Linked DNA regions of Rattus norvegicus. The protein of the gene in region 1 purifies or fractionates together with the protein of each later gene. This does not show direct contact. Links are inferred from orthologs where the notes say so. Each region holds a gene or a part of one and is shown on either strand. Other genes may lie near its edges.

Region 1 (16,251 bases):
TATGACGGGGCCTAGGTCAGAGGGGACCAAATGCACCCTTTGCTCTTAGTGGTTCCCTACTCTCCACACCATCAGGTACCTAAAAATTGGGTCCCAGCTGGCATTGTCCTTCCTCCTGCTGTTGCATGGCCTGGGCTGCCTCAGACCCACAGTCTAGTTAGGGAGCACCCAGGCCCCTCCACCTCTGCAGCTCAGACTCTCTCTACAGTCCGGCCGCAATGTGCGCTTCTTGCCTGGGCATTGTGATTCCATCCAGAGCAGTGACTTCTCTCCAACCTCGGATTCTCTGGTGAGCTTTGCTCCTTCACGCACGCCCTGAGTCAGTGACCATCTGAGTGGTAAGGGCTGTTTCATACATTACTGTCCACAGGCCACTGGCTCCTGGGACTCGACTGTGCACATCTGGGACTTGCGGGCATCAAGCCCAGCTGTCTCCTTCCGTAATTTGGAGGGCCACACTGGCAACATCAGCTGCTTGAAGTACTCAGCATCTGGCCTCTTGGTGAGCTAGACTAACTGGGGCTCCAGGGCAGTCCCTATTTGCCTCAAAGGGTACAGGCCTCTGAGGTGGGGGTCACTGAGCTCAGGGATGTTTGTTTAGGCATCTGGCTCCTGGGACAAGACAGTCCGCATCTGGAAGCCCACAACCAACAACCTGCTTCTGCAGCTCAGGGGCCACGCCACCTGGGTCAATAGCCTAGCCTTCTCTCCCGATGAGCTAAAGCTGGCCAGTGCTGGTTACTCTCGTATGGTAAGCAACCCCTTCAGAAAAACCTCAGCCTCACCTTGCCAGAGTTTTCAGCCATACTAGAAATGTCTATGCATAACAAAGGCAAAGACAAGATCCAGATACTGACCTCTAGTGACCTAAAGGCCAGCAGCATAAAGGACCAGGCGGCCCCACAGCTGTGGCACCAACACTGCAGAACTGTGAACTCTTCACCTTGTCTGCAGACATACTTGGGCCTTGGGGGACTGATACCTCAACTCTATTGCCTGTTTTTACTTCCAGGTCAAAGTCTGGGACTGCCTCACAGGGAAATGCCTTGAGACCCTAAAGGTAAGGCACCAGGGTCAGTACCAAGACCCTTGCAGAGTGACGGGTAGGACTCACTAACCTGACTCTGACACTGTGTTACTGACAGGGCATGCTGGATGTGGCCCATGCCTGCATTTTCACTCCAAATGGCAAACTCTTAGTGTCAGGGATTGCTGACGCGACAAGATGACAAGTCTGCTGAAAGTCAAGAACTTCATCCATGTAACTTACCCACAGGCCTAAGGTAACTAAGCCACCAGATCTCCAAGGCAGGGACTACCTAGCCTATCCCGTAAGGTGGTTGTCACCTGCTGTAGGCAAGCGATCACCTAACCTCACCCCCTGGACCCTGGGCGGCCAGTGTCAAACAGGAAGCAGAGAGCTCGTCAGTTTTGGACTTTATTGTTATTGTCGTCGTCTCAGGCCTTGACTGCGTACTTGCGCAGTGGGTACAGCCGCTCCTTCCGCTGCTGCTTCTTGGTCTTCAGCTTCTCTTCATGCTTGGTGAGCCGGCGGCGCATGGCTCTTGTCTTCTTGGGTCGCAGGTCCAGGGGCTTGTACTTCTTTCCCTGGGACAGAAATGACAGGGTGAGCCTGAGCACTGGGGGCTCCTGGGAAGATGTGGAAGCAGGTGAGCACACAGGACACAAAGTTGGACTTCTCTGAGCAAATGGCAGGGCACTGAGACAGCTGGGGGCTGTCAGTAAAGTACCAGAGGGTGGTAGGCCTAAAATTTGCACACCAAGCTCCCCAATTTCAAGACTACAAGGGCCAAGAGGGGGCTAGGCTTCAGTTTTCCTATGCATCACCTAGTGACTAAGTAGAAAGTCACAGCACAATGGAAAGGGCACTCCACACACACAGGCTCTGTGTAGCTACTGCCTGGCTGACCCACCAGGCATGGCTCATCAATGCTCTAGGTAACACCGACCACAGAAGGCTTGGTCAAAGTCACCCTGAGCTGTTAAGGGAGCTCTCACTTTCCTCTATCTCCTAGCCCTTCCCGGGTGTTCTAAGCAAGACAGTCCCTTAGTTCCCTCAGGGACCAGGTCCTGTGGGTCAGATCCTTACATGATAAGGAGAAGCAGCGCTACCAAGAATTTCAAGAGGCAGCAGCCTCCAAAACAAGCTCAGCGGCCTGCTGAAAATGTGTAACTGGGCTTCCTAGGAGTGCCTACTCCTGCCTGCAAAGGGGCAGGCACAATGGGTTCACATCCCCATGCACCAAGCTCCTGCAGGTGGACAGAGGACCCTAGAAAGCTCTACAGGATAAGGTGAGGAGCCACACCAGGCAGGCTTTCAGTCATGTCAACGTCACTTATCCACTTAGAGTTCTCTCCACAGAGCAGCCAAACACACCTATGTCCTGTTCATTCTCCAACAGTGTGAACAGATGGCAAAGATCAAGTCTAAGTGTCCACACAGCACGGTGCCTTTAACTCCAGCAGCTAGAGAGGCAGGCAGAGGGGCCTCTGTGAGTTCTAGATTACCTGGTGTAAAAGCAAGCAAAAACCCAGAGCCCACCCTGGTTCTTTGTGGACTGGAGGTAGTTCAGTGCAGGTTTACACACTGATGTCTCCGGACAGACACACAGACACACTGCTGAAAAGCCACATGTGTCAGCACTAGCAATGAAGCACAAAAAAGTTCAAGGTAAGTTCCACTGCTCAGGGGTGAGGTAAGGTCCCCACACATCAGTACCGAGTGATAGGTATCTTGGCTCTAGCATCTCCGAAATTAAGAAACTGTACTTCAGACGTGTCTAATCCAAAATGTCCCTCCTGGGCGGTTGAGTCACACCACAGACAGACAACTTTCTGACATGCCAAACCCCAACATTAGGTAAAATTTGCAGAGATGTAATTCAAGACACCACCAGATGGCTTCAATTAAGTGGGATTATCTTAAAATGACATGGCTCCCCACCCCAATCCTTCTGGAGACTAGCTAACTACAGGAGTCGATTCCTAGTAAAAACACGTTAATCTGAAAGCACTAACAGTTATGACAAACATCTTGCAACCACCCAGCAATACTCTTAATGTCCTCACGATACGGTTCTGAAGAGAAACTTGGGGGGGGGGGGTCCCTGTCTACCAACTGTAGGTGTCCATGGGTAACCCAACCTCCAAGTCTTGGAACAGAAGGTGCTTGGCTGTGAGACAGACATACTGAGACAGTGAGACACACTAAACAGCTAGCTTCACCTCAGGCTAGGGTCCCAGTTTCATCTACCACACAGCTGAGCCCAAAGCTAGCGCCCAGTCCACCCTCCCTTCTGACCCTCTGACACCAAGAATCCATGTCAGTCCGGAAAGCTGGTAACTGTGCAAACTCAGCCAGAGGGCCCAGTCTCCCAGTGCTCACCTTGTAGAATTTCCTGAGGTTTTCCTTTTGAGTCTGATTAATGACAGTGAGGACACGGGCGATGGATTTGCGTACGACTCGTCTATAAAAATAAACGGCAGTGAAGATCAGGCAGGCACGTACAACTCAAGTCCCTCCTATCACCCAGGAGGTAAAAACCCCAGAGGTAAGGACAGGTTTGTCAAGAGGTACACGTGGGGACTTAACGCAGATTCGGCAACGAGGAAAGACCTTTACACTCAGGCCAAAAACTGAGGCCATGCCTTCAAGTGTTAAGTAATCACAAATTGAAGGTTCAGGCCGACAACAGTTGATTTTGGTCATGGTGATGACAGATCACGTCCGTGACTGGAACACATGGTCTCAGCACATATTTTGTCTCTTGCAAGCCTCCCCTGGTCCAGTCTCACTACAACCCATGTGAGGGGGCACCACCATGGCCTTTTCAGGAAGGCCCTACTCTCTCACCCAGTTCTTCGCCAAGGACAATTGGGGGGAAAAGACGCAGGCACTAAGGCAGGGAAAGCCCCAGCGAGGGCCTCAAGGACCACTTACATCTTGGAGAGCTTGGACGCGGCGCCGCCTGTCACTTTGGCCACGCGAAGCTGGGACAGTTCCACCTTCAGATCATCCAGTTGTTTCAACAGCTCCTCCTTCTTCTTGCCGCGCAGGTCCCGAGCCTTAATCTTGGCCTGCATGAGAAGCGTCTCTGTGGGTCACTGAGCGGGAGCTCTCGCTTCCTTCGCGGCCGACCAAGGAGGGACCGTGGCCGCGGCGCAAGCAAGGGTAGGCGGTCAGAGCCGGCCCGAACCAGGCACAATCATACAGATTCGCAGGCCCTGCGGCTCCCTGAGTCCCCCACGCCCGCCCCGCACCCCGTGCCGCTGTCCCCACGTGTTCCCGGCGCCCGATGGCACCGGATTCCCTTTGCCTCACCATTGCTGCGCTGTTCGCGGATGAGGCCGCCCGGTTCGAGAGAAAGAGGAAGGGGCGGGGCCGACTTCCGCCACTATAGCCACTGGTGCCGAGCGCAGCCAATAGCGTTGCGGCGTGGGAGGCCCTTTCTGCCTGTGCGCAGTCGCGTCAGTGGTGCCCTCCGCTTCCGGGGAATTCTGCGGTACTGAGGTTGGCTGGTCTCTAAGCAACGCAGCTGGGGAAACTGAGTCTCCGGATGAGCAGCTCCTGGCTGGCTGAAGATAGCGCCGTGAAGGCTGCAGTTCTTCCGTTAACTTGCATTTTCGGGAAGCCTGAAGTTCCCTGGTCTGTGCGGGTCTGAGCTAGCCGCGGGTCGTGTCAGGGAGCGGAGGGCTTGAGATGTGAGTTTCAGACAGGGTCTCACCTTAAATCCCTTCCTAATGCTTAAAGTACAGGCGTTTACCACAATGCCCCGTGCGAGTGCGAGAGAGCGAGCCAACTAGCATGTTTGGAAGTTAGAAAACAACCTGTGGGAGTTTGTTTTCTTCCACCGTTCGGCGCTCGAATGCAGATGGTCAGGTTCTACGGAACCATTTCGCTATCTTTTTTTTTTTTTTTTTTTTAGTACAAGGCCTCTATATATACCCTGGGCTTGTTTCGTACCCAAGTTTGGCATCGAAAGTTCGACACCACCTGGCAAGGGTCACAATAGAGTCAAACTCCAGCAAAAACTGATGGAGACGTAGTACAAATCTCATCCCCAGATTTTTTGGCATTTCCGATTATTGCTTTAGGTCTGGGCATGGAATCAGTCTTGTGACTCCAGCGCCCAGGCAGTGGAAAAGGAGGATCCGGAGTTCAGGCCTCCTTCATACCCTGATTGTATGAAGGATTCCAAGACGTGCTGAGTTTGGTTCCGTGGTAGTGTTTGCCTGGCTTGCACAAAGCTGTGTCCAGTCCCCGGCAGCTGTTATATGAGTAAATAAAAACTCCGAAACAAAATCAGAGCCTTGCTTTATTGCTAGTACTAGTTGATCTTGGCGAGTCCCTTCGCGTCTCTGTTAAGTGTATTTTTTTGAGGGTTAGAGGAACTAAACAAAACTTTCGAAGCTCCCAGCTAAGACCTGATAGGTAAAGATCGAGGAAAGTATCAGTTGGTATTAACATGGTTAAAGAGCACATAGCCCTTTACCCACAGTCCCAGACAGACCACCAGCATGTAGATCAGAGCAAAGCAGACTAGATGTTAGGTTTCAGTAATAAATGACCAAACTGACCAATCAGAGCCCTTTTCTTTGCCAAGCTCTTGCAGCTGCCCTTTTCCCATCAGTTTCTCAGCTGTTGTTCAAGACATGATGCTGATAGCCGACCAGGGACTCAGGGTACTGTAATGAACATTTTTTTAGTCACCACCCACCCCAAGAGTAGCAGCCTAACCTTGTATCCTAAGTGCTCTTACGTACCAAAATGAGTTAAGCCATGTGTTTGTGTGCCTGTTTCCAGAGCCAGTCTTGAAGGTCTCTGAGGGTTTAATGCTCTCTAGGCCCAGGATGTGGGTCCTGCTTGGATAGAATGAATTAATAAGCCTTTTGTAAGTGGGATAAGAGGAAATGAGCAGAGTGTGGATTAGTTTTATCCTTTTTTTTTTTTTTTCGGGGAGCTGGGGACCGAACCCAGGGCCTTGCTCTTGCTAGGCAAGTGCTCTACCACTGAGCTAAATCCCCAACCCTGTGGATTAGTTTTAAATGGAAGTCTAAAGATACAACTTACCAGATGATCAGGATTCTACTAGAGTTATGATTATACATATTTCTGGAAATTTTTTGTGGTGCTAGGATTAAACCCAGGATTCACAATGTATTTTTAATTCCCAGTGTATTGGGGTTACATCCTCATATTTGAAGACAAAAACTTATAGGTAATTTATTTTTACATGGCACATGCAGTGCCAACAGACGTGACTGGATCACCCTGGAGGTAGAGCTGCTATGTAGATGCTGGGAACTGGGAACTGAACCTAGGTCTTCTCTAGGAGTAGCAAGTTTTTTGTTTGTTTTTTTTTTTTAATTTTGAGACAGTTTCACTGTGTAGCCTTGGCTGATCTGGAACTATGTAGACCAAACTATCTAGAACTCACAAGAACCTCTTGCCATTGCTTCCTAAGTGCTGGGATAAGAGGCATGTGCCACATTACTGGCTGTGTGCAGCAGGAGCTCTCCAGCCTGGGACTTGTTCTGAGGCAGGGACTCACTAAATGCACATAGATGGTTGATCCTCTTGGCTTAATCCGGAGAATCAGTATTAAGGGAGTGTACCACCACATCAAATTTCATATCATGATTTAAAATCCTATCTGCCAGCCACTGGTAGTACATGCCTTTAATCCCAGCACTTGGGAGGCAGAGGTAGGTGGATCTTCAGAGTTTGAGGTCAGTCTGGTCTACAGAGCAAGGTCCAAGACAGCCAGGGTAAAACAGAGAAACCCTGTCTCAAACAAAACAAAAATCCCTTTTGCCTGATGAACATCCATGAACACAAGCTAGAACATTATTTCATTCATTAGTTTATTTGAGGCTATTTACCTGTCAAACCAGTATTTCTGGTATTAAGTTCCTTCTGACCAAGATGTTCTAAGGGAGGGACTGGAGTGATGGCTGGGCAGTTAAAAGCACTTACTGCTTTTACAGAGGACCTGGGGTTCCATTCCCAATAACCATAAGACATGGTGGCTAGTAACCATCTGTGTAATCCCAGTTCCAAAAGGATCCCACGTCCTTTCCTGGCCTCCAGCAGGCAATACACCCAGGTGGTGCTCAAAAATACTTGAAGACAAAATATTTAAGAAAAATAATAAAGTTGTTCTGGGGATATGAATTCCTGCTATCTTCTGATTAACTTGCGCCCCTATTACTTCTTAGGTATGAGGCAGGACTACATTCAGGATCTGAGTCTTTATTCAGCGTGTACTTGCCCCCATGGGAGCTTGCCTTTAGCATCCCAAGGTTAGGGTGCATCAGCCTGGAAGTTTTTGATTTGAAGTTAAAGGAGAACTATGTAAAGCAAAACCATGTTTCACCTGATTTTTGTTCGCGTTCTATTAGGTGAAAATATAATAGCTTTCGTATAATTACAAAAAAAAGGATTCATTTTAGCCTACGGTTGAAATAAAGAGAAACCAGCATCCCAAGCGTCCGTCCTAGAAGCCACCTTCCTCCCATCGAATTATGGGAATTCTGTAGTTTTCGCCTCCTAAAATGCGCCTCTTCAGTTAGGAGTACAGGTGGCCATGAGTCATCTTTATTTTCTGGAACGCTCGCAGGGGTCGGTACATCCTCAAGTAAAGTTGTTACCAAGCGTCCTGCCAGCCCCGGGTTATACATTAACGCCTTTAGAGCCGTTTAGTTTTAACAAAGAAGTCCCTTGTGGGTCAATGCGGTTAGTGTTTAAGAGACTCCGGCACTGCGGTTCACTACCACTCATCTCCATCAGCTCATAAACTTCTTCCTCCGGAGCGGACAGAGGCGGAAGATGTCCTTGCACTGCAGTCCGGCTTCTGGGACGACAGAGTTACGCCTGCAACCTCCGACAGCACTACACCAGCTTTCCACAGTCCTGCAGCGCAGCCCTGCCCACAAGAGTTTCCGGTTCCGGTGCATCCTGGAAGTGGGCGGGCGACGGCGGCTGCGCGCGGAGGAGGGGAGGAGGTGCCCGGCGGCCGCTTCCCGCCCCCAAGCGGAGCCGGTGCGGAGGGAGCCGGTACGGAGCGAAGCCTAGGCGGCTGGGCGGCCGCCGCGCTCCCGCCATGGCCCGGAACACACTGTCCTCACGCTTCCGCCGAGTGGATATCGACGAATTTGACGAGAACAAATTCGTAGACGAGCACGAAGAGGCGGCGGCGGCGTCGGGCGAGCCAGGCCCCGACCCCTGCGAGGTAGACGGGCTCCTGCGGCAATATCCTTCCCAGCGTGGCGGCCCGGCTTGGCCTTCGCACCCTGATCACCCCAGCCCCAGTCCCGGTCCTCCGGTCTTCCGCCCCTCCCCCCTCCCCCTCCGGGCTCCTGCCAGCCCCAGGCTCCCCGGGTCCGTCGTTGGTGGCCTCACGCCTTCTCAGCAGCACGGCCCAGGAGCTCGTCTCACTCTCGGCCTTGCTCTGCATCCTTCAGGGTGACTGTGCATCGGCCTTGGTATCCCTTTATCCCTCCTTGTAGTAAGCGGGGTCATTCCCGGGTGCTGGTCCTCAAGAGGGACCGAGGTGAGCCACCTTTGATTCATCGGGCAACCAGGGCCACCTGCGCTTGTCTAACTGGCTTTCTTGGGCCCGATTGCAGCCCAGCACGAAAATAGGTGGGTGGATGGTTGGAGGAAGACTGACTGTAGGGCGGAGGTGGGGGAGGTGCAGCTTTAGGACCATCCCACAGGTGTGGTATTGCCTGCTACCTTTTCTCGCCTGTCTCCACTTACCACAGCAGGTTGGGGTTTGGGCCTTTATGGGCCGAGTACATTCAACAAGTAATGCGACTCTGCCATTAGCCGTCTTGTGCAGAAAGCGTGGAAAAAGCTAGTGATTCAGAGCTAAAATACACCATACAGTGTCAAGTGTAAAAGTGGCTCCCTGCGACTGAAAATGACTGCTGGTGGCCACAGAAAACAAGCATTTATAACAGAAGAGTAAAAATAGAGGTGATTGTCACAGCTGGCTTGGTCTCTTAGCAGTTGGAGCACCACAGGAAACTGATTTATTCTCACAGGAAGATTTTTTTCTTTATTCAAATAGCTTGACAGGAAGTGTGTACCCCTCCCCCGTACTTGCCAGGATAGGGTTGAAAGCTCTTGCTGTATATAAATCAGGTTTAGTTGACTCAACCTGGGAAGTCAGGTGTACAGCTTTTGGGAGGAGTCCTGTAGTGCTCCTCTAATGTAGCTTGAAAACAACCCTTTTAGACTGAACAGGAATGTGTTTTTCAAATGTGGATATTTCAAACTGGTATTTCCTGCACCATTAAGTTGGTTAAAATTGGGTCATGAGAAGGCCCCTAGAGGGAAGACTGGTTTATGTGCAGTCACTGTTGACAAGGCAATGTATTTGGGCCAGAATCCTAAGTATATTGATGAAGAGGCTGGGATCTGTCAGCTGCTGCCTTGGTATTGATGCTGGGACTTATTGAAGGCCCTGACGGTTTTTTCTTTTCTTTTTCTTCTGTTTTTGGAGGTAGCTTAGAGGCACTGGCTTAGCTCATAGAGGAGATGGCTTCTACACTCATGGCAGTGTCAGAAGCCTTGTTACCATGGAGAGAGTACCTCTTGGTATTGGGAGAAGAGAGGCTAGCAGATTAGAAGTGAAACCCTAGCAGGATGTTAGGCCCAGGTAGGGAGAAGGATCATTGAGTCCCTGTCAGGTGACAATCATTGCATTCAGTCTATAGAACCTCATGTGAGTCTAAAGGGAGAATAGCAGAGAGATTTGGGGGATGTTTGCAGGTGGCGGTCTCAGGGCTGTGCTGGGAATTGTCATTGTGGAAGAGCAGAATGTGGGAATAGAAAGCCACTGTGTGCTTACATGGACAGACAGAGTCTAACCTGTTTTAACTGCTGCTGACCACATACCCTCTCAACCCCAGCACTCTTCTTAAACGATAGAGACAACTGTGTTGGTCTTACCGCTTCAACGGGAGCATAACTGAACACACACCAGATATCCTCCAAAACTTGGGTCCAGGCTGTAGTAGGGGCAAGGGATGGTAGAAAGGGCTTGGATTTGAAGGTCAGCTCTGAATGTAGCTTTGTGACCTTGGGCAGGTAATTTCCCCTCTGACTCAATTTCATTGTCTTTAGGGTAGAAGTCAGGCTCTTGTCCTGGAGGGTTTTTAGAATAAGGTGAAATGTGACTGCATCTGGTCCTGGGTCCAAGACCTCCAGGGAGAATTTTTCCTCCACTCCAGCAGTTTTAAAGTACCACTGTAGCTCATTTTCTTTCTTGGGAAACAGCTTCCCAAGTAGGACTGTAGAACAGTGGTTTTGAGTGATTTTGTAGTTTTTTTCACCCCACCCCAAGGAAATCTGGCAATGTTTGGTGATATTTTGATTATTACAGTTTTGGGGTATTACTGGAAACTTTAGGGTAGAGACCAGGGAGGTTGCTAAATTGCTCTAGGGCCATGTCTGAGAATGGTCTATAGGGTTCTTCTGTTACCATAGCCTGTTCTCTGAAATTATTGGCAGCCATCTGGGTATGGAGGCCAGTTTAGTAAACATTGTGTGATTGTAGAGGTGCCTCTCTGCTCCCCATTCTACCCAGCATTTGTGGGCCTTTGGTTGTCTGTGGTTGCTTGGCAAGCTGCAGTACCGAGTCTAATGTTTTCATCCTTACAGACTAATTGTATCATTTCTGCCCTTCCCTATCTATTTTGTGAATAAAATGACTGTTAGTCCCCATGTACTGTTAGGTTTATGGGACCTGCTTATTGCCTGGGGATACCAAGTTAGAAAAGTTATGGGGTGGAGGGTTATCAGTGGCTTTATCAGGACTAGTCCTTGTTTGTCTGAGGAAAAAGGAATCCAAAACTAAAGATAAAGAGTAGGGGCATCTGTCTACCCTGTAAGGTAGGTGCATTCCAACATGGTGAGGGAGTGACTTGCCTGGTGGTACAGACTAGCTTTTCAAGATGGCACTCACTGGGGAAGCTGGGAATTCAGGTTTGCACCAGAGGCTAGCTGTTCACACATGGGCATTGCTGCATGGACAAAAGTAAAGACCTGATTGGGCAGAGTCATTCCTTGTTCTATTTTTGAAGCTTTTTGGCTTAAGCCAGTCTTTCATATGAGGAAATGAAAGTTGGCTGATGTAATTCAGTTTAAAATAGGTGTAACCTTTGGGGACATAACCTAGATTGCAATTTTCTTTTGTGTGCTGGTTATTCAGAACTCAGCAGTGAATGTGAAATTAGGATTCTATCTAAGGTTTGTGGGGAAAGGGAGCAAATGGCTCATTTTGTGGGCCAAAGTGATGCCATGCTGAATTGCAAGATAGACAATCCCCTTCCCACCTTGAGACGGGTTTTAACCTTGTAGCTCTGGCTGGCTATGAATTGGCCTGAGTGCTGAGATTTAAAGACATGAACTACTAGGCCTAGCCTGCAAGGTATACTTGACATACTTGATTTCTTTTGATTTCAGTTTGATAAAAGACGGAGTGAGAATGTGTTTATGTCTAGCCTGGTGGTGGTAGTGGTGCACACATTTATTCTTAGCACTCAGGAGGTAGAGGCAGGTGGATCTCTGAAGTCAAGGTCTACAGATGAGCTCCAGGACAGACTGGTGCATACAGGGAAATCCTGCTTTGAAAACAACACAGAACTATTAAGATGTGTTTGTTTCTCTTCCCTTTTAGGATGAGAGAGTGAGAGCTCCTTGCAGTCGACTTGTGCAGGAGTTGCCATGAAGATCCTGTAGAGCTGACAGTGCCTAGCACTAAGGATGTGCAAGTCGGCTCTGAAGGGACTCTGGCAAGCATGGCTCTGGCAGGCCTTGCCCTTGCTAAAAACAGTTTGCATTCCTGAAGCTAGCCCCTAAATTTTATTTGGCCTTATTTGGCTACTTCCTATTTTTGAGGCTGAATACCAAGGCCCCAGCTATCAAAGTACTGAAGTCCAGCAATCAAAAGCCCCCTTTGGCTCACCTAATTAACATGCCAAGTTAAAATGAAACACCTCAACCTAACATGGGGTTTCCCATTTATACCTTTATTTTTATTTTTGGAGGGTTTCTTTGTATAATCTTGACTGCTCTGGAAGTCACTGTAAACCAGGCTGGCCTCAAACTCAGCAATCCACTTACCTCTCCGGGGATTAAAAACATGCACCACCACTGCCTGGCCCATTTTACCTTTATAAACCACCATTTTCCTATGTATCCCATCTGTTGTCTCTATCCAGAGACAGCCCTTGTTCTCTGGGACAAACCTTTGCTCCCTTTCCCTGGCTTCTTTCCCCTTCTCTCTCATCTTCTCTCTCCTATGTTTGTCTCTTATTCTCTGCCCTCTGAGGCAAATAAATCTTTGTGCTGAGAACTCAGTCTTGGGGGTCCTAAGCTAATACTCTTCCTTTCAGGCTCTATTAAATTCTAACACAAAAGAGAGCAGTTTCTTGAGGAGGAAGCTTTAGGGAAATATTTCAGGAAGAGCTTGCAGGTTGGCAGAGGTGTCATCTACTCCTTCCTGTGACTCAGGAAAAGTCAAAACAATAGCAGCCTCTGCCTGCAAGAGGCCAGCAGGAGATAGTGGGTGGTATGGATAAGATCCCTGTAACTGTTCTTGAGCTGTCTGTGGAGTGAGGTCATTAATGAGAGCATGGACATTTTTGAGCCTAGCCATCCTTAACTGGCTTTGATGCACAGGGGACATGCTTCGGGCATTCCATGCAGCCTTGCGGAACTCTCCAATCAACACCAAGAATCAAGCTGTGAAGGTAAAGAGGTTGTGCTGCAGCTGTCAGGACCAGGACTTCGTGTCCTTAGCAGCAATTTCAACTCCCTGGCGTCTGGACAGTAACTGCATCACTGGGAGTGTGCTGCTACTTGGCGTTCCCTTTTCACCGAAACCACTTGCTATTTCTCAGATACTGGTGCAGTAGGTAGCTTGATAACTTTGTAATCTGTAAAGTGTAAGGCTTTGTTGATGTATCAAAAGTAGTAATGCTTGAGACTGGGCTAAGCTCAGTGGGTAGAGGGCTTGCCTAGCATATGTATGGTCCTGGGTTCAAGCCCTGACATCATATAAAGTCATATTACCTATAGTAAATCACTTGTTCTTTCCACAGTAAGTGGAATCACTTATTTGTAAAAATAAGTGAAATTTAAAGCCAAAGATGTTTTATCTCACCGATGTAGCTGGGTTGAATTAAAAAGGGTTGGTGTTTCTGGCATGTTTTGTCTATTGGTTTCTGTCGTGTTAGGATTGCAGCTCCTGGCCTTACTCACTTTTTTCTTCCTTTGTAGGAACGAGCCCAGGGTATAGTCCTGAAAGTACTCACAAACTTCAAGAGCAGCGAGATTGAGCAGGCTGTGCAGTCACTGGACAGGAATGGCATTGACTTGCTAATGAAGTACATTTATAAAGGGTTTGAGAAGCCCACAGAAAATAGCAGTGCAGTGTTACTCCAGTGGCATGAAAAGGTACGGACTGCATTGTTCCATTGTAGCTTGCACTTCCCCCAGGGTTCACACTAGGAGGCCAGACTCAGAACAGACGCTGGATGGTCTGGTGGGTCTAAACTTTGACACTGAATGTTCACCTTACCCTGCAAGCGCCTAGTGAGGATCTTCTAACACTCACAGTCATATTTTTGCTTTTTACCTGTGGACTTTTAGGCTAGGCAGGACCAACTACCCTTGATATAGGACAGAGGCAGGTGGTATGGTGAGGTAGGATGGGGCTTGGTGCCTCATTATGTCTCTTTTGCTTGTGGAAGAGAGCTGCTGAAAAGGAGTTTTTGAAGACATCTTAAAACTGCAGGCCCAGTCTCCCTACCAGAAGGAGCAGTTGGCAGAAATTGGAGTCATTTATTATAGCTTTCATTCACTGGAAGCAAAAAAATTTTTTTTGTCCTTTACTTGAAGGATAGAGGACCAAGGCATGTGTCAAACTTTTGTCCTGTCTGTCAGCTGCACACCACCTGCAGCCCTGTAACACTTCAGTAAATACACCCAGCACTTATGGGTTCCAGACTGATGAACACAGTTCTTGTCAGTGGTTCAGCATGAGATAAAGTCTCATGTAGCTCAGGTTGGCCACAAATTTGTTTTTAAATTGGGGATGACTTTAAACTTTTAATCTTAATGTAGATAGAGATTGCAGGCATATAATACCATACTGAATTTTACATGGTGCTGGGGATGGAATCCTGGTCTTAATGCTTGCTGAGAGGATATTCCACCAACCGAAGTACATCTCCAGCCTGAGATATTTTTCCTGTGGTAGAGACAGAACTGGGGTTCTGGTATGTGTTAGGCAAGTGATCTTGTATTGAACTATATCCCTTGGCAGCGCTGAGTTTTTAAGAATGCTGTTTTTACTGGTAGGTCAGTTTCCAGCAAAGTGTTGGGCTGTGGCTTCTGGCCCTGTTGGGGTGCTGACTTTTTAAGCTTCATCTTTGCTTGGGTTCAGGAATTGCTGTTGGTGGTGAGACGGTTAGGCCTTTTCAACCCTGTGAGGTGCTTTTGATGTCACCCTGTCAGTAGGTAGTTCTCTATGGGCTGCCATGTGTTTCCAGGGATAGGCAGGTGCTGGCAGGTAGAAGCAGAGCATGTTACAGGGAAACTCAGGCTTTGTTGGATGCTTGGGGACAGTGATCCCAAGCCAGTTTTATTGCTTCAAGAGCTGTAAGCTTTTGGGACCCTTGGCTCTAAGACAGGGCTCTCCCTAGAACTTGATCTCTCTCAGCAAGCCTGTGACATGGTGGGATTGAGGTCTGGGAATATGTGTCCTCATCTCCAGGTGAGTGAAGCTCCCTTCTGGCCAGTCAGGTACCATTTGACGTGTTTCCTTTTCCTGTCTCCACAGGCTTTAGCTGTTGGAGGACTAGGCTCCATTATAAGAGTTCTTACAGCAAGAAAGACTGTTTAAAAAAAAAAAAAGAATCCTGTTACCTTGAGAAGAATTTTGGATGCCCAGGCTAGTGAAGAAGGGACTGACAATGGACCATCTTCCTAGAACTCCCAACTAAATACTTCAGGACACATCTGCTGGAATGTATTTTACTTTTGAGGTGGAGGGAGAAATTGTCTTATTGATTCCTAAATTCTTTGCAGGACCAGAGTGTCTGCCTTTGTCTACAGAGTAACACAGAACCAACACTTGACTATCTGGCTGACTGGCCAGATTATGTGAGGTGTACCTGTGAGCACTGTCTGTTTGGAATGGGGAGGGACTATTTGGGCAGGTGCAGACCCAAGGGCTGTGGTGAAAAGGAGAGCTTGGGTTCTGAAGTGGAAAAAACCTGATGAGAGTTTGTACAGACATCCTGTCTTCTCAGAGAAGGCAGGCTCTCTTGGGTTCATTGTAAAGTGCCTGCTGCATCAATAAAGCTCTTGGCTTATTAGTCTATTCATTGAAGTGTGTTCTCTGTATGTTAAATGGTAAAGAAAGGGATAGCAATGAATGATGACAGTTTGGTTTGGAAAGCTGATGTCCCTGTCCTGCCATCCTTGGGGACGGGGAAAGCGAGCATGGTGATACCACAGCTATGCCATACTTTAACTGCAGTGGTGCTGGATGCTACCGAGAGACATTTTGCTGAGTGTTTATTTTTCTTACTCTTTTGATTTGTATGTAATTTTGGAGCTTATTTAATAAAGTGCCAAACCTTTAATGATTGAGGCTTCAAAAGTCATCCGTTTGTGTGATTACAGATGTAGCCTGGGCAAGTTCTGGTCACTGTCTCCTGATGTAGGGTCTGTTCTAAACCCCAATAATGGCAGTCAGCTATGAGCCCTAAAGCAAGTGCTCCTGAGCATCACAACTGCAGCTTAAATGCTGGCTCAAGTGCACCGGCCCTGCCCGTCCTAGATCCTCTGTAGAACCACTCATGCTTGAGAGGTAAAACTAGCCCACGGGGCCATTAAATCATATTTATTCACCTTTAATCTGAGGAGCTTGCTTCCTTTTGAAAGAAACATCTGTAGTCGTTGAAATATGATAGTCAGTACAAAGCTGAATCTCAGCACTTGGGAGGCAGGTGGATCTGAGTTTGAGGCCAGCCTGGTCTACAGAATGAGTTCTAGGAAAGCCAGGGCTATGCAGAGAAAGCCTGTTTCAAAAAAAAAAAAAAAAAAAAAAAAAAAAAAAAAAAAACCAAAACAAACAAACCCAAAGACAAGATTTGACAGGTCAAAATAAACACATCTCAAACTTTTATCAAGTAAAACTCACTGTAGTT
Region 2 (16,251 bases), on another chromosome or scaffold:
TTACATAATTTTCTCATCAAGGCTTTCCTCTCCGATGACTCTAGGCTGTGTTCAGTTGACAGCTAGGTTAAAGCCAACTGAGGCAAATGGTATGTTTCTGGGTTCATTGGCACCAGAACAAAATCTAACTATCAAAACTGAACTATCAATCTCAGTGCCTCATCCCTGTGGGTTAAGGAACAGAAGAGCCTGGTAATTGTTCCTCAAGACCCAGCCTTGCTTCTTTTTGAAACAAGAGAGCCCCTGAGGTTTACGTGGTGTAGTGGTTTGGATAGTAATGGCTCTCACAGACTCTTGTGTTTGAATGGCCCACAGTGAATGGCACTATTAGGCAGTGTGGTCTTGCTGGAATAGGTGGGGCCTTGTTGGAGAAAGTGTTGCACTTAGCAACACTTAGTTTCAAAAGCTTAAGCCCCCCCAGGGTGCATTCTCTTCTTGTCGCCTGTCGATCCAGTTGTTGAACACGGCTCCTTCTCCAGCACCATGTCTTTCTGCATGCTGCCATGATGATAATGGACTAAACCTGTGAACTATAAGACAGGCCCAAGCTAAATACTTTCCTTTATAAGGGTGGTCATGGTGTCTCTTCACAGTCATAGAAATCCTAACTAAGGCACCCGCTTACACTGGTACTTGGGCCAGAGGTTAGACTATGACAGTTTCTGGTTTTGTTTTTGTTTTTTAATTTGTCAAACTCAAACTATATTGTCTTTGTCCTTCTTTTTTTCCTCATCTTTCTTTTCAGTAGCTGAGGATGACCTTGAACTCTTATCATCTTGCCTCTAGGAGTGCTCAAATTCCGATGTGTGACATCATACCCGGTTTTATGCAGCATGGGGCATGGAATCCAAGGCCTCAGAGATACTAGGCCAGCACTTTACCAGCCGAGCCACACAGCCGCTCCCTTCACCAGCAATTTCATCTCTTCGGATTCACCAAAATGGGATTTCTAAATCTAAGAATATGAGGCAAGGTCTCATGTAGTCTGGGCTGTATGTAAACGTGTCTCCAGCCCCACTTTCAAGTACTTGGGGTTCTTTAGTGGATGACTTTTTACATTTTATTTTTATTTAGTATATGACTGCTTATATGCCGTGCAGCTCATACATGTTTGGTGTATACAAAGCCAGATGAAAGTATCAGGTCCCCTAGAACTGGAGCTGCAGGCTGTTGCGAGTTGCCAAGTGGGTGATGGGAACACAACCTGGGTCCTCTGGAAGAGCAGCTAGCACACCTAATTGCTGAGCCATCTTTCCAGCTCCCCTCCCCCAATTCTAAGTTTTAATGACTAATGTACAGTAATTTCTAAGAAAAATATGAGTACTCTCCACAGTATTTAATGTGTCTACTTTCCTGTGACTTCAGCTATGTTTTCCTAGGCTAGGGAGAGGCGCACTCAGTCCAGTGCTGGCTGCATGTGCATGGTGGTGACCTGAGTTAGGGGATCCCCAGCGTATTTTATTTTATTTATTGTGGGGGATCCCCCACAATAAAAGACTGAGTGTAGCGGCTCACACCCATAATCCCCTTATTCCAGCACTGGAGCTCACTGGCCAGTCAATACAGTAGAACCCGTTAGATCTAGGCTCAGTGAGATACTGTCTAAATAAACGAGAGCAATAGAAGATACTCAATGTCAATCTCTGGTACACACACACACACACACACACACACACACACACACACACACACCAGTACATACACACACATTATTTTTTCTTCTAATCTTTAACTTAAAAAGATTTCTAGTCAGTGAAATTTAACTGTTCTGTAATCAACTTTTTCCTTTGGACTTCCATATCACTTACAGTTCTTAAATTGTATAGATTGTGGGAACCAGCTGGGGTTAACTTAAATTGGAGGGGACTTACAAGAGAGCACAAGATCTTTGAAATGTGGGCAAACAGACTTGGAAATTACTAAGAGCTAAGAGTTGGTTGATCTAAGCTAACAGGAAATTGGGGCGTCTCGGGTGAGCAGTGAACCCAGAGTTATCAAGTAAACCCCATTAGCCCACCTTTGTTTTCCTTCTGCTTCTAGTGGTTGTCTCTGCAGGATCTTTTGACTGAACCCCTCTGCCTCTGTCTCTGGAGAAGCGTGGGGCAGAAGGGGTGTATATGTAAACGGGGTGGTCAGAAACAGTTTGGCAGGAAGTATATGGGAAGTTCTCTGTGCAGCTGAGGGAGGCTGACCAACTTTGCCAGCAGCAAACAGGAAGTAAAGGAGATCCTAAGCGAGCAAAATGTTTGGGTAGACAGAGTATGAAAAACAAGCATAAATAACATCTCTAGCGAGCGCTGGGAGCTTCTAAACATTTCCAACAGTTACTGCCTTTGCAGGCACAGGACAAGCTTAGCTATATGAAACAGAATGTTAGCTGTTTCCTCTTGTCTTTGAAAAGTATTTACGTTTACTTTACTCTCTCTCTCTCTCTCTCTCTCTCTCTCTCTCTCCCTGTGTGTGTGTGTGTGTGTGTGTGTGTGTGTGTGTGTGTGTGTGTGTGTGTGTGTGTACATATGTAAAAATCAGTTATCTCCTTCCGTTGTGTGGGTTCCAGGGATCTAACTCAGGTGATCAGGCTTGTCAGATGCCTTTGCTTGCTGAAGCATCTTTCTGCCCTTCCCCTCTTCCTGTCAAAGCTTTTTCATACGTGGAGGCCACATACAACTAAACCACAGAGGCCTCTGTAGTGGAAAGTACAAAATGGTAGCACACTGGCCAGTTATAAGGTCGCTAAGAAAGATTTATTGATGATCTGTCCTGGCTAGCTTTAACTGTCATTCCAGATAACCTAAACTCTTCAAAAAGGAAAGCCTTGTCATAGGAGTTACCTACACCTGACTGTCCTTCGGGCAGGTCTTGGCTCAGTGTCTTGGTGGTTAATTTATGCACGTGAGTGGGTCCACTGTGAGAGGCCATTCCTAGGCTGGTGAAAGGCAGCTGAGCATGAGTCAGAAAGCAAGCCAGCAAATGTGCTCTGTGGTTCCTGTTTCAAAGTTCCTGCCTTGAATTTCTGTCCTGACTCCCCTCAGAAATGGATCGTGGCCTGGAAGTGTAAGTCATATATACCCTTTCCTCTCCAACTTGCTTTTGGTTGGAATGTTCTATCACAGCCACAGAAAGAAAAATAGAACACTGCATTTGTCTATTTTTTTTTTTTTTAGTAGCTATACTAGAATACCCAAACTTTTTTTTAAGAGCAGAAGATTACTTATCTGCTTCGTCCTACCAGGCTTGGGGCTCAGAACTCTGGGTAGAGGAGTTGAGGGAATGAGCAGAGGGCAGGCAAATACAATGAAGCTGGGATCAGGTAGGCTTCTCTGTTATGGCCACCACCTGGAACCCCACTTAGTCTGTTCATTAGGTACAGCATGGGAGGCAGGGTTAGCTGGCCGATGCAGAGACTCCTAAAGGGTCAAGTGTTGAGACTAAGTGACTGTTGAGTGCTTCCCTTAATTTGGATTGTTGCATTAACTCTGTCCCTTCCCTAAGGCTCGGGGAACATTTTGGATGACGGAGTAGAAAGACTGTGAAGTCTCGAAGATGAGAAGAATGCTGGGAAATAGCATCTTCTGGACATCCCATGAACTCACCGACACCGTGGTTACGTGCACAAGATCAAGCCAGCAAGTTATGTTAACATGCCATCAGGGAGCACTGATTAAACTCAGAGGGTTACAAAAATCAAATAAGAGAAAAAGGGACAGAAGATAAGGAGGCACTGTTTGGAGGCGCCAGGGAGGAAAGGTATGAGGAACTGTGGGTAGAGACGATCAAATAAATAAAATACATTGCATTGAAAAGAAATGAAGAGGGCTGGAGACGTGGCTGAATGTTTAAAAGCATTTGCTGCTCTTGCAGGGGACCCAAGTTCAGTTTGCAGCAACCGTATTATTGCATGGTTCACAACTGCCTGTAATTCCAGTTCCAGGGAATCTGCCAACCTCTTCTGGCCTCTGTGGATACCTCATGTGGTACACATACACAGAGGTATATATATATATAAAACAAAAAAAGATGAATAATAGATAAAGCTTTAAAATGAAATACAGAAACCAACTCGAAGACAACAGTATTAATTATTCATGAGGGCAGAGCCCTCAAAACAACCTTTAACATCTGCCTTTCCATATCACTACCTGGGGGTTAGCTTCCAACATATCCACTTCGGAGGATAAACTCAAACAACAGCACTTAACAAAGAAACACAGATTTCAAATTTCTCTTGCGAGGAAGTCTCTGGTAACATGAGGCTTGCATTCCCACATAGCAACTGCCTTCTGTTCGGTGTGGGTGCTATGTGTTGCCACATCTTCTTGGTGGCCCACATCGCCCATCACAAACCAAACCAGAACTGGAAGTTTCTGATCCTTGGGTTGGGATGTAGTCCAGCTGGCAGTGTGTTTGTCAAACAGGCGTGAAGCCTGGATTTAAACCTCACCTGCACATAATCGGGGCATTGAGGCACACACCTGTAATCATAGCAGTTGTGAAGTGTGGACAAGGAAGATCATAGATTCAGGGTAATCCTTGGCTACACAGTGTGGTCTCCTTTAGACATTGCATAAACAAACAGAACAACAAGCAAACAAAAAGCTAAAAGCTTCTGGCCTTTGTTGTAACTACTTCTTGATAATTGCCCAAGACTAGAATATTGGAAAGTAATTTTTGGGACCTCAAGTCTCAGCTCCACTTGTTGACAGTTCGAAGTCCCTTAATGCCACACTTAGGAGAACTTTGGTAGGATTTTTTTTCAATCCGACCTAACTACCTTTAACTGCTGAATACAGCCTGTCCACTTACACTGAGTCACAGCTTGACTCACTTCTGTCCAAAGTGCTCTCTCCATACCCCCCCCCCCCATGACCCTGAAGAAAACCAGTCATGGGAAAACCGTTTAGCATCTTCTAAAATGTATGGGGGAAAACCAGCAACGAGGCATCTGAAAGAAGACCCACTCTTCTTGCTGGACTGCTGTGAAGACAACATCTCACACCTTTCCCTTAGGGCTACTTCAGATGAGCAGCTGTGACTACACTCACTCCATAGTAACTGATGCTGCTGTCCTTCTGTACATATCAGGTCCCAAAGAAAGGCTGGTCCTTCTGCTTTCTACCTGTGAACCATAGAACACAATGTACCCCCCCCCCCATGCCACTGTATCAGCTCTAAACAAAGCAGATGACAAGTCAAAACATATGACTCTCACCTCAGAAGGCATACTAGAGTTTATCTTGGAGCCAAATATGAGTAACTATGGCCCAGGAACACAGACTTCAATGACCATTAAATTTGTGTTGCAAGTTAGTAACAGTCTCAGGATGTTTTTATAGTAACAGAACAAAATAAGTCATAAATTAGGATTTTCTTACACACACACACACACATATTGGTGGAAACATTAGAGATGTGGCTTTCAGCAAAGTGGAGGAAATATCTGTGAGGCCTCAGATAATGTCCCAGTGACACCCATACCCTTTTTTGGTTCATGGAACCCCGTGATCTATTACGTTAATCTATTCTAAAAGGTTTCACCTGTTAGTTGCAGCATGTTAGGACACATGGACAAAGTAATTAGGTCCTGGACCTGTTACATTCCAAACTCTCAGTCAGTGAAGTTCTAATTAGTTAACCGGCCTTCCAGAAAGTTCCATATAAGATGCTACTCTTTCCAGAAAGTTCAGCTCTCACAGCCAAACCTTTTTTTCCTAGTTCTTTGGATAAGTTGCTTTGGGATAAGCTTGAATATGCTTAGAAGTCTCTACTGATGTCTGCACCATCCTCTTTCTCAGGGTTCCGTTTTCATCACATCCTCTTTGGCTGTCTTCATTTTAACCACTGAGGGGAAGAAGTTAGACTCCCCTCCCCCAGTGCTGCCTCAGGTCAGATACTTGCATTTTCTCTTCTTGGGGGCCTCCCTCCCTCCTTTCCTCTGTTTCTTAAGATCTGTGGCCGAACCACTTATGCTGTTCAAGTGTGACTGCTCCGCTGTTTTCCAACCCTTCACCCGTTCCTCACAGTTCTCAGCATTTTTTGTGATTCCTAATACAATCTGTTTTTCTACTCATGGGCAGAACTCTGAGATCACACCTCTTATCTATACTTTGCCCCACTATATTAAGGGTCAGTATAGTCTCTGCCATACAGAGCAGGTGAGAAATATTTTTCTGTCAAATTATTAACAATAATAAGTGGAAAGTCAATATTTTACCCCCTCGGGTCAGTTTGCCACCTGATAACATAATATTCTGTATTGAATAAACACATCCTTTCTTAATGTATTATTATTGTCTTATATTAGCAAACCTAGATTAGCCTGTTCAAAATATGTTCTCCAGTGCAGTATGGCACAGAGGTAACGGGGGTGACCAAACACTTCTGGATGAGTTCTGAGGCCTGCTCTTCAGAAAGGAATTTATGTCTAGTATGCTAAACCTGTCCAAAAGGCCCAGGGCTTAGGAGGTCACAGGCTGTATAGGGAAACCTGTTGCCCTACTCAATAGACCTTCTAAACATTGATATTTCTACACAGAGACTGGAGCTGTCCTTGGGTGGAGAAGTTTCTCTTTGCATTAGTTAGCAGTTAAAGCAGATACAAACCTGGCCTGAGTGCTGAGGTCTAAGTGACTACTGAATGCTCAGCCTTATATGGTCCATCTGTATCGACCTTCACCACTACACAAAGCTGAGGGAGCATGGAGGAGGGGGTGGGGAGAATAGAAGAACCAGAAGATGCTGTCTTCTGGACGTGACACAGATTTTGCAGGTATGACATTGCAGTTACCGTCACCTTAAGATCAAGCCAAGATCAGTCAGTGTTTCAACAGACCAGACTGATGGGATGCAGTGGATTACATAAAACTAAATAAAAAAAAAAAACAAAACACACACACACAAAACAGAGGGGGCATGAAGGAAGGAGGAGGAGTAAAAGGACAATGATGAGGAAGAATACATTGGGATATCCAGGGGAGCTAGAGAGAGGGTTCTGGGAAAATTCAGTCAAGATACAGTGTTTACATGCATGGAAATGCTAAAGAATAAATAAAAGACAAGTCTGTTGGGGAGGAAAGCTGTTAACTTTCCAGGTTCCTGCTGATGAGAAAGTAAATTCTCAGGTTCTACTGCACATTGATTTTTGCATAATCCCCTGAGATATGACCTAGCAAAGCACTTTACACTTTCTACATTACTCTGATGTATTCAAGTTTTTAAAAGTATTGCCTTTTAAGTCTGTAATGTAAAAAACACATATCTTTTTCTTTCTTTTTTTTTTTTTTTTTTTTTTACTAGAAAAAGTTTCAAGCTAACAGTATTACACAGAAGGAAATCCATTATCACTCCAACCTGAATAGAGGCCAGGTACCTGCACAGAGTCTATAATGTAGAACACAACCTCTGGGAGGCTGGCCTTTCTTAAAGGCCTGAGACAATCTCACTACTCTTGGAGGAAGTTTATCATCACCCCAAAACCCAAATAAAGGCCATCTGTGCAGGCTATGTAGAACCTCTGGGAAGCTTATTTTTTTATTTTTATTGTTTTACATTTTCGTGTGAGGGGGAGAACGTGTGCAAACTCAAAGAACAACTTGTGGGGGTCTTTTCATTCCTTCCAGCGTGTGCACCTCCAGGGATCAAACTCAGGTTAGTGAGTGCAAGCACCTTTACCTGATCCAACACTTGCCTTCCTTGATGACACAGAGGAATCCCCAAACCCTGGAGAAGGTGGGTTTGTTGTTACTGTTTAACCTAACGTCTTGGATCCTTGCCTTCTTAAAGGCAGAGGCCCACCATTTGGGTGAGCTTTGAAACTACAATGTAATAGTATAACTGACGTAAATCTCAGGACACAAACCTTTGTTCATCTCTTTTCTGACTGCACACCTAGAGCGATCATAGGGGCATGCTGCTGACCACGTTTCCCCACAGTAGAGAAGCCTTCTGTTCATTCCTCAAGTTAGCAGAGAAGAAACACACACACACACCACTACCAAAAGCCAGCTTCATAATTAAGTAACTGCCTGACTTCTCGGCTTTCACCGGCCAGAAAATGTGAAGTGGAATATTAGCAAGTTGGAACCGGAGCCTCGACCCACAGCTGCACACCACTGCGCATGTGCAGCCGCTTCGGAAAGCATTAATGCTTAGCTTGGCTACTGGGTTTCTAGCTATCTGAAAACCCAAAGTGGAGTTTCTGGTTATCTGGAAGGGAGCCGAGGCCCGGCGGTCGCACATTACAGCGCGCGCGCGCACTCGCCCCTCCCACCCGGAACCGGAAGTGGGAGCGATCGCGGCCTGGGGCCTGGCCTGGCCGGGGCGTCGGCAGCGGCGGCCATCTTGGCTACCCGCGGAAAGGCAGTGTGAGGGGAAGAAGTTGTAGGGTGGGGGCGGGAGTGAGGAGGAGGAGGAGGGCCGAGAGCGGAGGGGTGGAGGAGGAGGCCGCGGCGGGGCAGGGCGGGGACAGCCTGCCGGCCGGCCAGCCTGCTGGGCTTGCGGAAGTACTAGCCTACTGCTCACTCGCTACTGCTCGGGCTTCCCACAGCTCCCTCCCTTCCTCCCTCAGGACCGAGGGCGGCCCAGGCCAGTGCATGGTCAGCTAGCTCACATCTCTATCCCCGGCCTCTTAGCAGCACGGAACGGACGGCAGCGGCGGGCGAGGAGGAAGATGGCGGGACGGCTGCCGGCCTGTGTGGTGGACTGTGGCACGGGGTACGGCGGGTCTTCTGGGTGGGGAAACTGAGTCTGGGGACAGCCGGAGGAGGGAGATGAATGGGGTGAGCCGGCCAGACTGGCGACGGGTGGTGCCGGGAGCCTCCCTGGTTCGGTCGCTTCAGCCTTCTGGGACGAAGATCTTTTCAGGCCCTTCCCTTCTGGGAAGGCCGTCTGGCCCACCTGGCTTTCCTTTCCCATCTCTCCTCTTCCTGCCTGTGAACTAGGGGACTCTCAGGGAATCTCCAGGCGTAGGACCAAGGGAAAAAAGAGAAGCGCTCCTTGCGGGTTTTGCAAGATCGCGGTGACAACCCTCAATCTCTAGGGCGTGTGGGTGGGGAGAGCGGAGAACCGGGCTGTGAAAATGGGAAGCTAGAATGGGGGCTTTTGCAGAGGACCCACGCGCCGCCTCTTTTCCGCCCACACCCATTCTTAGCCATCTCCCACTACCCATTGAACCAAGTCAGTTCCAGCGAGGAGGATCTCATGGGGTTATTGCTCTTGCCTCAAAAAAAGTCCCTTAGTGAGCAAGCGCGCTGCAACTTCCTTAGTTTTGTCAAAGCCGCTTCCTGCTTTCCGTCTTTTATAGCCTTATAAGGTAGTTTTTCGTCTCCAACGTTAACACGTCTTATTAGAACTTTCAAAATTAAGCAGGTTGCATAAAGAGTAGATTATGAGTGCTAGGTATCAGTGTGTTTGAACTAAAAAAAATGTTCTTGTGTCCATGGAGGGAGATAATGGGGAGGAGAAGGGACGCACCCTGGAACCTAAACATTCAGTTTGGTTTGTGACTGTGTCTTGAAAGCTGAAAGGAGATAGAAAGGAATGTGTTTGATTAAAGCAATTGTTTCTGATAGTAGTGTGGTTGGCTAAAGTGACTTTTAAAGTTGTAGGTTTGTATTAATGAACCTAGTCAAGAGTTAGAACTTGCTCTGTGTGGTGACCTAGAGAGACGACTACATTTTTTACGCTGTACGTTGCAATACTTGGTGGAGGAAGAGGCCTGTCTGATCTCGAATCCCCCAAACACATAAGTGGTTTTGAGGACAGTTGCCAACCTTTTTCCTCTTATTCACCCTACCACAGTTATTTAAAGGATGCCTCTTCCACGACATTAGTTAGTTTGTATAAATCCCTCCCATCTTAACTCTCTGCCTTTACATGTAATTGTTAGGCAGCCGGAAACAACAAAACACTTAATTTTTTATTTCTTGGAAAACACTAGTTTAGCCTTGGAATTTCTATGTATTTTCTTAGTTGACATCGTATTAAAGTTAGATTTTTTCAATCCGGTCTCACCCTCTTGAAGTGTTTATATATGTATATTTAAGTTTATCTTTTCGTAGTTTAATTGATGAGTACTTGGATGTTAGAGGGATTTTAAAAATTAGAATTGGCTAGCGTGAATAGGATTTTTCAAGTGTATTTTATTGAAGTGACAGATAGTGCTATGTAGTGCTTCATGCTTTAGAAATCACTGTCAGTAAAGCCACATAGTCATTGATCACTGTATAAATAATGCCGTAGCAGCTTAAGGAGGATGCGTCTTTAATCTTTTTATGTATTTATTTTCCTCTTTTGAAATGCAGTTTTGGTTATTTTTGAATAAGTAGTAATTGGTATCTCATTGAACTTAGCTGTCCTTAAGTGACCTTTTTTTCTGAAAGGGCAACCTTGAATTAAAAACACATTTGGAGTGACCAGGAGAAGTGATACAACTTATACCTAGGCTATTTCTGTCTAATATCTCAATTACTAAACCATTACATTGCTATATTGTATATTGATCTCACCTTACAAAGAGAGGTTAGCTGTATATTCATTTATGATATGGGTGAAACTGATTAAAGTCACTTTCTCTATTCAGTGTTTTTACCTTTGCTCACAGTCTGAATTTCCCAATTTGTAGTTTTCTTTATTTTGCTTCTGAAGGTTTTGGGTGTGTCATCCTCTCCCCTGCCAATCCCACCAGTTGGCTCTACTAGACAGCAGTTTAGAGACTCTCACCTTGAGCTTTATTAGAAAAGTCCTTTCTCAGCGCCCAAGATAAATAGCATGTCCAAAAATGACTAGCAGGGAGTTTTACATCTGAAATAACTGTTTCCCAAATGCAAAATGTACCCCTTTAATTTGTACACCCTCCTCCCCCAGTCAATGCACTCACCTCTTAGGTCTCCACAATTACTCTTCTAGAGTAAGTGGACCATTTATAGGTTGTCCATCCCATTTCATTAAAGAATTTAGGCAAAAAGTGGTAGTGTGTTAAACTTGATGGCAGGCTTACAAGCTGTAAATGTTAGGACACATGAGATTTAATTCTAGAACTTTAAATTAAGAATCCTACAGCATAATTCATCATCACCACCTAGGTTGAGGTCATGAAGTATTTTTCAAATACTTAAGGAATTAAGAAAGAAATACTTCCTTCATATCTGTATCACCAGGTCAACATACCTTTTTGGTCCCTATTGGCCAAGTATTGTAGAATAAAGTTCTTGTTCAGAGACAAAGATGTAGGGCTTGGAAATGTAGCTAGGAAAAGTGCCTCATTCTCATGCACAAGGCCTGCTTCAGACCCCAGTCAAACAGGCTGGAGAGCCATCTCCAACGAGAAAAGCAAGTTTTAAAGCTTCAAAAGGATGTAATGCTCCTGTAATAAAGTTATCCTAAGATAGTTTCAGTCTGCCTGTTTCACTCATTTTTCTATTAGGGCTTTTCTTTGCTCGATGTGTTTTGTTTTTACTCAGAAACTGCTTTGGTGGCTTATTTCCACTGATTAAGTAATAGTTAATATACAGTCTTAGTTTACAAGCCTCGGATATATTTATATACATTACAGAATTTCTCAGATCTACCTTTTTTTTTTAAAGCAGTCTTCCAACTGTAAGCCCAAATCATTTTGTTTGCTTTGGTGAAAGTAGATCTATATAACATCCTGTGGCCAGGTCCTAGAAGTTAAAGACAAGGATGAGTTTGAGAGCAGTGGAAGCCATGGATGAATGAAGGCATACTTGAGAAACTTGACATTCTTGCTTGGATTCTCTTCATAATGTGTTATGAAGTATCGAAGGCAGGAGCATTCATACTATCTTGATAACACATTCATTACAATTCTTCTGGTTGATAGCTTGTGTTTGGAGCAGCAGACATGCTGCTTTTGGGAAGCCGAAGTCCTAAGTCCAGTTGAAGTACGCATCGCATGCTGACTCTGCCATGCTTTGTTAGTGACCTTTAAGTTTATTGTTAAACACAGTTTAGAATTTTTATTTTCAAGATTAGAGTGGAAAGGCTGGCCACTGGTGAACCTGATGGCCAGGATTTTAACTTGTTCTATCTTATTTAACTTGTGACAGCTTTTTTTTTTTTTTTTAAGTTAGTTAGTTAGTAGCTGGTGGACTTGGTGCTTGAACTTAGTTCTGTATTTAGGCCTGTAGGGTTCCTTGAGCCTCCTTTCAGAAAACTGTACATCACTCTGTTAGTGAAATTAATCCAGCTTAATTCTTGCTTACAGTACTATTGCAAAAATAATCCTACCCTATGAATTCGATTCAATTAACTGGTGAAATTTTTTTTTTTTTGTCTTTCTTGAGGTTTATTTTTTTCCCTGAAGATTTGAATTTTTAGACTATTTCCTTGTTCCTTTAAAAAAAAGACTCAGGTTTAGAAGTTCTCAGGAAATAGAATTTCGTGAGAGCCATGTGCAACACCTGTGGCGAGTGCCGTGCATCAGCTCCTCACCTTCCTCTTCGCCTTAAGCAGTGCTGTTCGTGTTATGTAGACAGGAACTTAAGTTCCAGGTTAAACCACTTCCCTGGGGTACAACCTGGAGCCTGGAGGACCAACCACTACAGTTTTTGATAATTTCAGTATTTTGAGTTGGAGAGGGATTAATTTATTCACTAGTTACTTGAGGATGGTCGAAGTTTACTTTATACTTCCCAGTAAACCACTCTTGGACTTATACTTATCTGATACATTCTGCCTTCATGAATTTTAATCCTAATTTAAAAAAATTTAAGGTTATGGGTTTCACATCCTACACTCCACTCCCACTCATCTCCGGTCCCCCGTATCTGCTCTCCACCCTTGCAGCCTCCCCTCAGAAACCCTCCCCCCTCCCACACAAAATAAACAAAAAGCATAGAAAACATTCTGTAGTAAAAGCTCTAGTGTGTCACAGTGTGTCCCACAGTATACCCCTCTGTCCGCACATCTTTACTTGGCGAATGTTCATTTTAGTGTTGAGTAGTGGAAATCACTGTGTGACTCCAACTGCCCTTGAGCTTCCAATGATTCTCCTCCCTCAGGTTCTTGAGTGTTGGGTTTACTGTTGTGAGCCACCACAACCAGCTAATACTGGCAGCTAATCAAACGTTAAATGGGTGCTTTTCAGATAGTAATAGCTGTTTTCCAGGTTTTATGGGCAGTAGTGATTGTAGTCAGGAAGTCAAGCAAGCTGTAATGAAGGTCAGATTTTAGTCTTTTCAAGGAGCTGGGTAGCTGCACAGGAGAGTATTTTACAAAAGGAAGGAAAGAAAAGTGTGTTTGTGCAGAGTGCTGATGGGAAGTGAGGCTGCTTGCCTGCTTTTTGAGTTTTAGGCTGCTTGATAACAAAATGTGACTTTATATTTTACACTATGAACTAATGTTCATCCAATACTTGTGTACCAGGTTTTATATTTCCACAAAATTTTGGTTGCAAAAGAGTTCTAGTTTATAGGGACCCCAAATTCCGAGTAATAACAATGCTGAAAGCGCAGCTCTTAGATCACTCACTGCACTGCATCTAAGAAAGAGGGACAGGGACAGGACTGGGTGTACAGCGGCAACTCCGATCTGTGTTGAATAGTCTCCTGTTTTTCACAGTGAATGGACGTGAACAGGAATTAAGATATGCCTTTGTTTTTGATCTTTATTTTATTTTTTTGATTCCTAGATGAGTTCCATGTAGCCCAGGGTGGCCTTGCATTTCTGTCTTCACCTCTTGAGCAAACACTAATGTGCTGGGCTTGCACTGCCACGCCTAGCCTAGTTAGTATGGTTTTAAAAAACTGCATCAGAGATACTCTATACACAGTGTGTGGATTCTTAAGGATTGGGACTACCGCTGTGTGTTCCAATGGGCTTCCTAGATGATTCTATCCTTGTTTGTTGAGACCAAGTCTCACTAAAACTCAGCCAGGCAGGAGCTTATGTGGCCCAACTTAGGGCAGTCTTCCCATCTCAGTCGTCTAAGAGTGGGGATTGCAAGTATGAACCAGTATGCCCTATTTCCTAGATGATTCTAAAGCAGCCCCAACAACAGCTTTGTTGGTAGATATTATATAGTAGTGTACAATTTTGCAGTTGGCTACTGGTGATAGGGATGGAGTGGAAGGTAGAAGTTTAGAAGACTGCTGCTTTTGTCTGTACCTTCCCTTTCACAGTTGCATGCTGTTTTTGTGTGGCTTGCAAGGACTCTGGTCAAGTGTTTAGAACTTAATTCAAGCTCTGCGCTAGAAGGACCTTTGACATAGAAGTGCTTTGGACACTTGGAGTCCAGGAGCTTTTACTTTTCTCACTTATGATTTAGCAATTGTAATTGCCTACCTTACTTTTATCATGGTTTGTTGCAATTATAATCATCAGTTAGCTCCCTCTTATTATTTTTTGAATTAAAGGGTTTTAAGGAAAAAGAACATCATATCATGTTTTGTGCTTATTTTCTTATCTCACACAGACCTTGGCCTGCCTGCTGTAGTTCTGGGTGCAGTCAGAGTGGGTTTTTGCTTCTCTAAGAGAATGGAAGGATGTACTGCTAGGATTTGGAATTAGGAATGTAGCTAGAAGAATGAGGATTTCAAGATTGTGACCTTGATTGATTAGGATAATATAGGAGTTAGGTTTTTGCATGTTTGTTTGTTTTGTTTTAACATTTATTTTTGGGGGTGTGAATATAGAGATCAGAGGACAACTTTGAAGTAGAAGGAGGTTTTCTTCTTCCACCATGTGGACCCTAGGAATGAAAAGCCTCTATCTACTGGACAGTCTCTTCTGCCTAGGAATTAATTTTAAGAATCTTTAAATTTGGAGACAGAGAGATGGTTCTGTAGGTGAAGGCACTTGTACCTAGCCTGACAGCACACACTAAAATCAATGTTAAAAAAAATTCCACAACAAAAGAACCAGTAGAATTAGAATAGTTGTATTTGTAATGCTATCTGTAGCTGGCCATGTATGTCCTTGAAGAATGAGAAATACAGGTGCTTCCTTAAGTCAGACATTCAGAAGTAAATGGTAGCAGTTTGTAGACTGAAGCTAATGAAATGAGAATTCAAAGAGAAAAGAACAGAGAGATTGAGTATCAGTACTTCTTTAATACACAGTGTGAAACAGCTTTTGGAAGGTCATGATGGGAGCCAGAGAGCCAGCACATGTGGCTTGTGAGTCATCATTCTATTTAGTCCTGTTTTCTAAGAGGAGGGGAATATCTTTACAGTTGTGCTAAATCCCACTCCCCAACAAGTGACAATGGTTAAAATGTTAGCCTGGAGGCAGATGTGTGAAATGGCTACAATGTAGCTTCTAGCAACATTTCCTGCAACAGAGTTCCTCTAATTAATAAAAGCATTCAGTGTGTGTAACTCTATTGGAACTTGTTAGGGTTATAATGACACTACCTGTGTATAATAGGCTTATGCAGAAAGAAGCAAGAACAAACAGTTAAATGCTAACAATACTACCAAATGCACTCTCACCCACCACGCCCTTAACTATTCATGAGTTAGGCAGTGTAATATAGGTGATGTTACTGTTATAGATTTGGTTCTTTATAATAAAGGTGATGATATACTTTGTATTTGGTTGTATAGCTATGTGGGCCTTTAGATCCTAAGACACAAAAATGACATTTCATAATATCACTGGAGCAAAAATGATAGATGACATTCTTATGTTCTTAAGAGGTGTTTTGTGAAATGTTAATGACTTGTTGTTGTTTCAGTTTTTCTCCCAAATCATTCTTGATCCATGCCTTAATTTCAGCTTACTAGCCTTTTCATCCCAGTTCTTTGAAACCAGTAGAGGAGTGGCAGTGAGTTTGTGTACTGTGTGTCTTCTTCGTCCAGGTTCCTGAACACTCAAGAGATGTGCTGATGCAGAACATTCCTTCATTTTCTTCCTAAATGCTTTTGTTTTCTTTTTAGAAGATAATTTATTTCAGTTACTACCTTATAGCAAGCTACACAGTGTTAAGTATAAATAAAGGGTTTTTAAGAAGAGAGATTTAGAATACAAAGACCTTATATTTAGGCTTGATTTTTAAACTGTGAAAATGTAAACTTTGTTTTTGGTATTAGTTGAAACCAGAGAACAAATACTTGCTTGTTTAAAGTTTAGAAATTATTATGTGTCTTGTAAGCTTTTTTTTTTCTTCAAGAATTCATTTACTTTGTGTTACTTTCATAAATTAAGTGAAATTGTGTATTTGGATGGTTTTCTGTGTCAACTTGACACAAGCTGGAGTTATCACAGAGAGAGGAGCCTCCCTTTTGGAAATGCCTC

The links.
Region 2: the proteins of Arpc5l (region 1) and Actr3 purify together in Homo sapiens (affinity purification with mass spectrometry; 6 studies listed by BioGRID and IntAct, counting the BioPlex papers as one, with this or other methods). This does not show direct contact. The link is inferred for Rattus norvegicus from reciprocal best matches to the Homo sapiens genes ARPC5L and ACTR3.

The regions. Positions count from the first base shown.
Region 1 is NC_086021.1:43,161,538-43,177,788, forward strand, and holds Arpc5l (actin-related protein 2/3 complex subunit 5-like protein), read left to right. Parts: upstream 1-8,064; 5' UTR 8,065-8,123; coding exon 8,124-8,272; intron 8,273-8,484; exon of another isoform or gene 8,485-8,665; intron 8,666-8,711; exon of another isoform or gene 8,712-9,001; intron 9,002-11,708; exon of another isoform or gene 11,709-12,710; coding exon 12,711-12,783; intron 12,784-13,312; coding exon 13,313-13,489; intron 13,490-13,862; exon of another isoform or gene 13,863-14,876; coding exon 14,877-14,939; 3' UTR 14,940-15,687; downstream 15,688-16,251. Other genes in the region: Wdr38 (WD repeat-containing protein 38), read left to right, coding at 209-289, 371-502, 602-751, 1,013-1,060, 1,146-1,229; Rpl35 (large ribosomal subunit protein uL29), read right to left, coding at 3,248-3,488, 3,962-4,098, 4,343-4,345. UniProt on the Homo sapiens protein: May function as component of the Arp2/3 complex which is involved in regulation of actin polymerization and together with an activating nucleation-promoting factor (NPF) mediates the formation of branched actin networks.
Region 2 is NC_086031.1:39,388,839-39,405,089, reverse strand, and holds the start of Actr3 (actin-related protein 3), read left to right. Parts: upstream 1-8,580; 5' UTR 8,581-8,665; coding exon 8,666-8,709; intron 8,710-16,251. UniProt on the Homo sapiens protein: ATP-binding component of the Arp2/3 complex, a multiprotein complex that mediates actin polymerization upon stimulation by nucleation-promoting factor (NPF).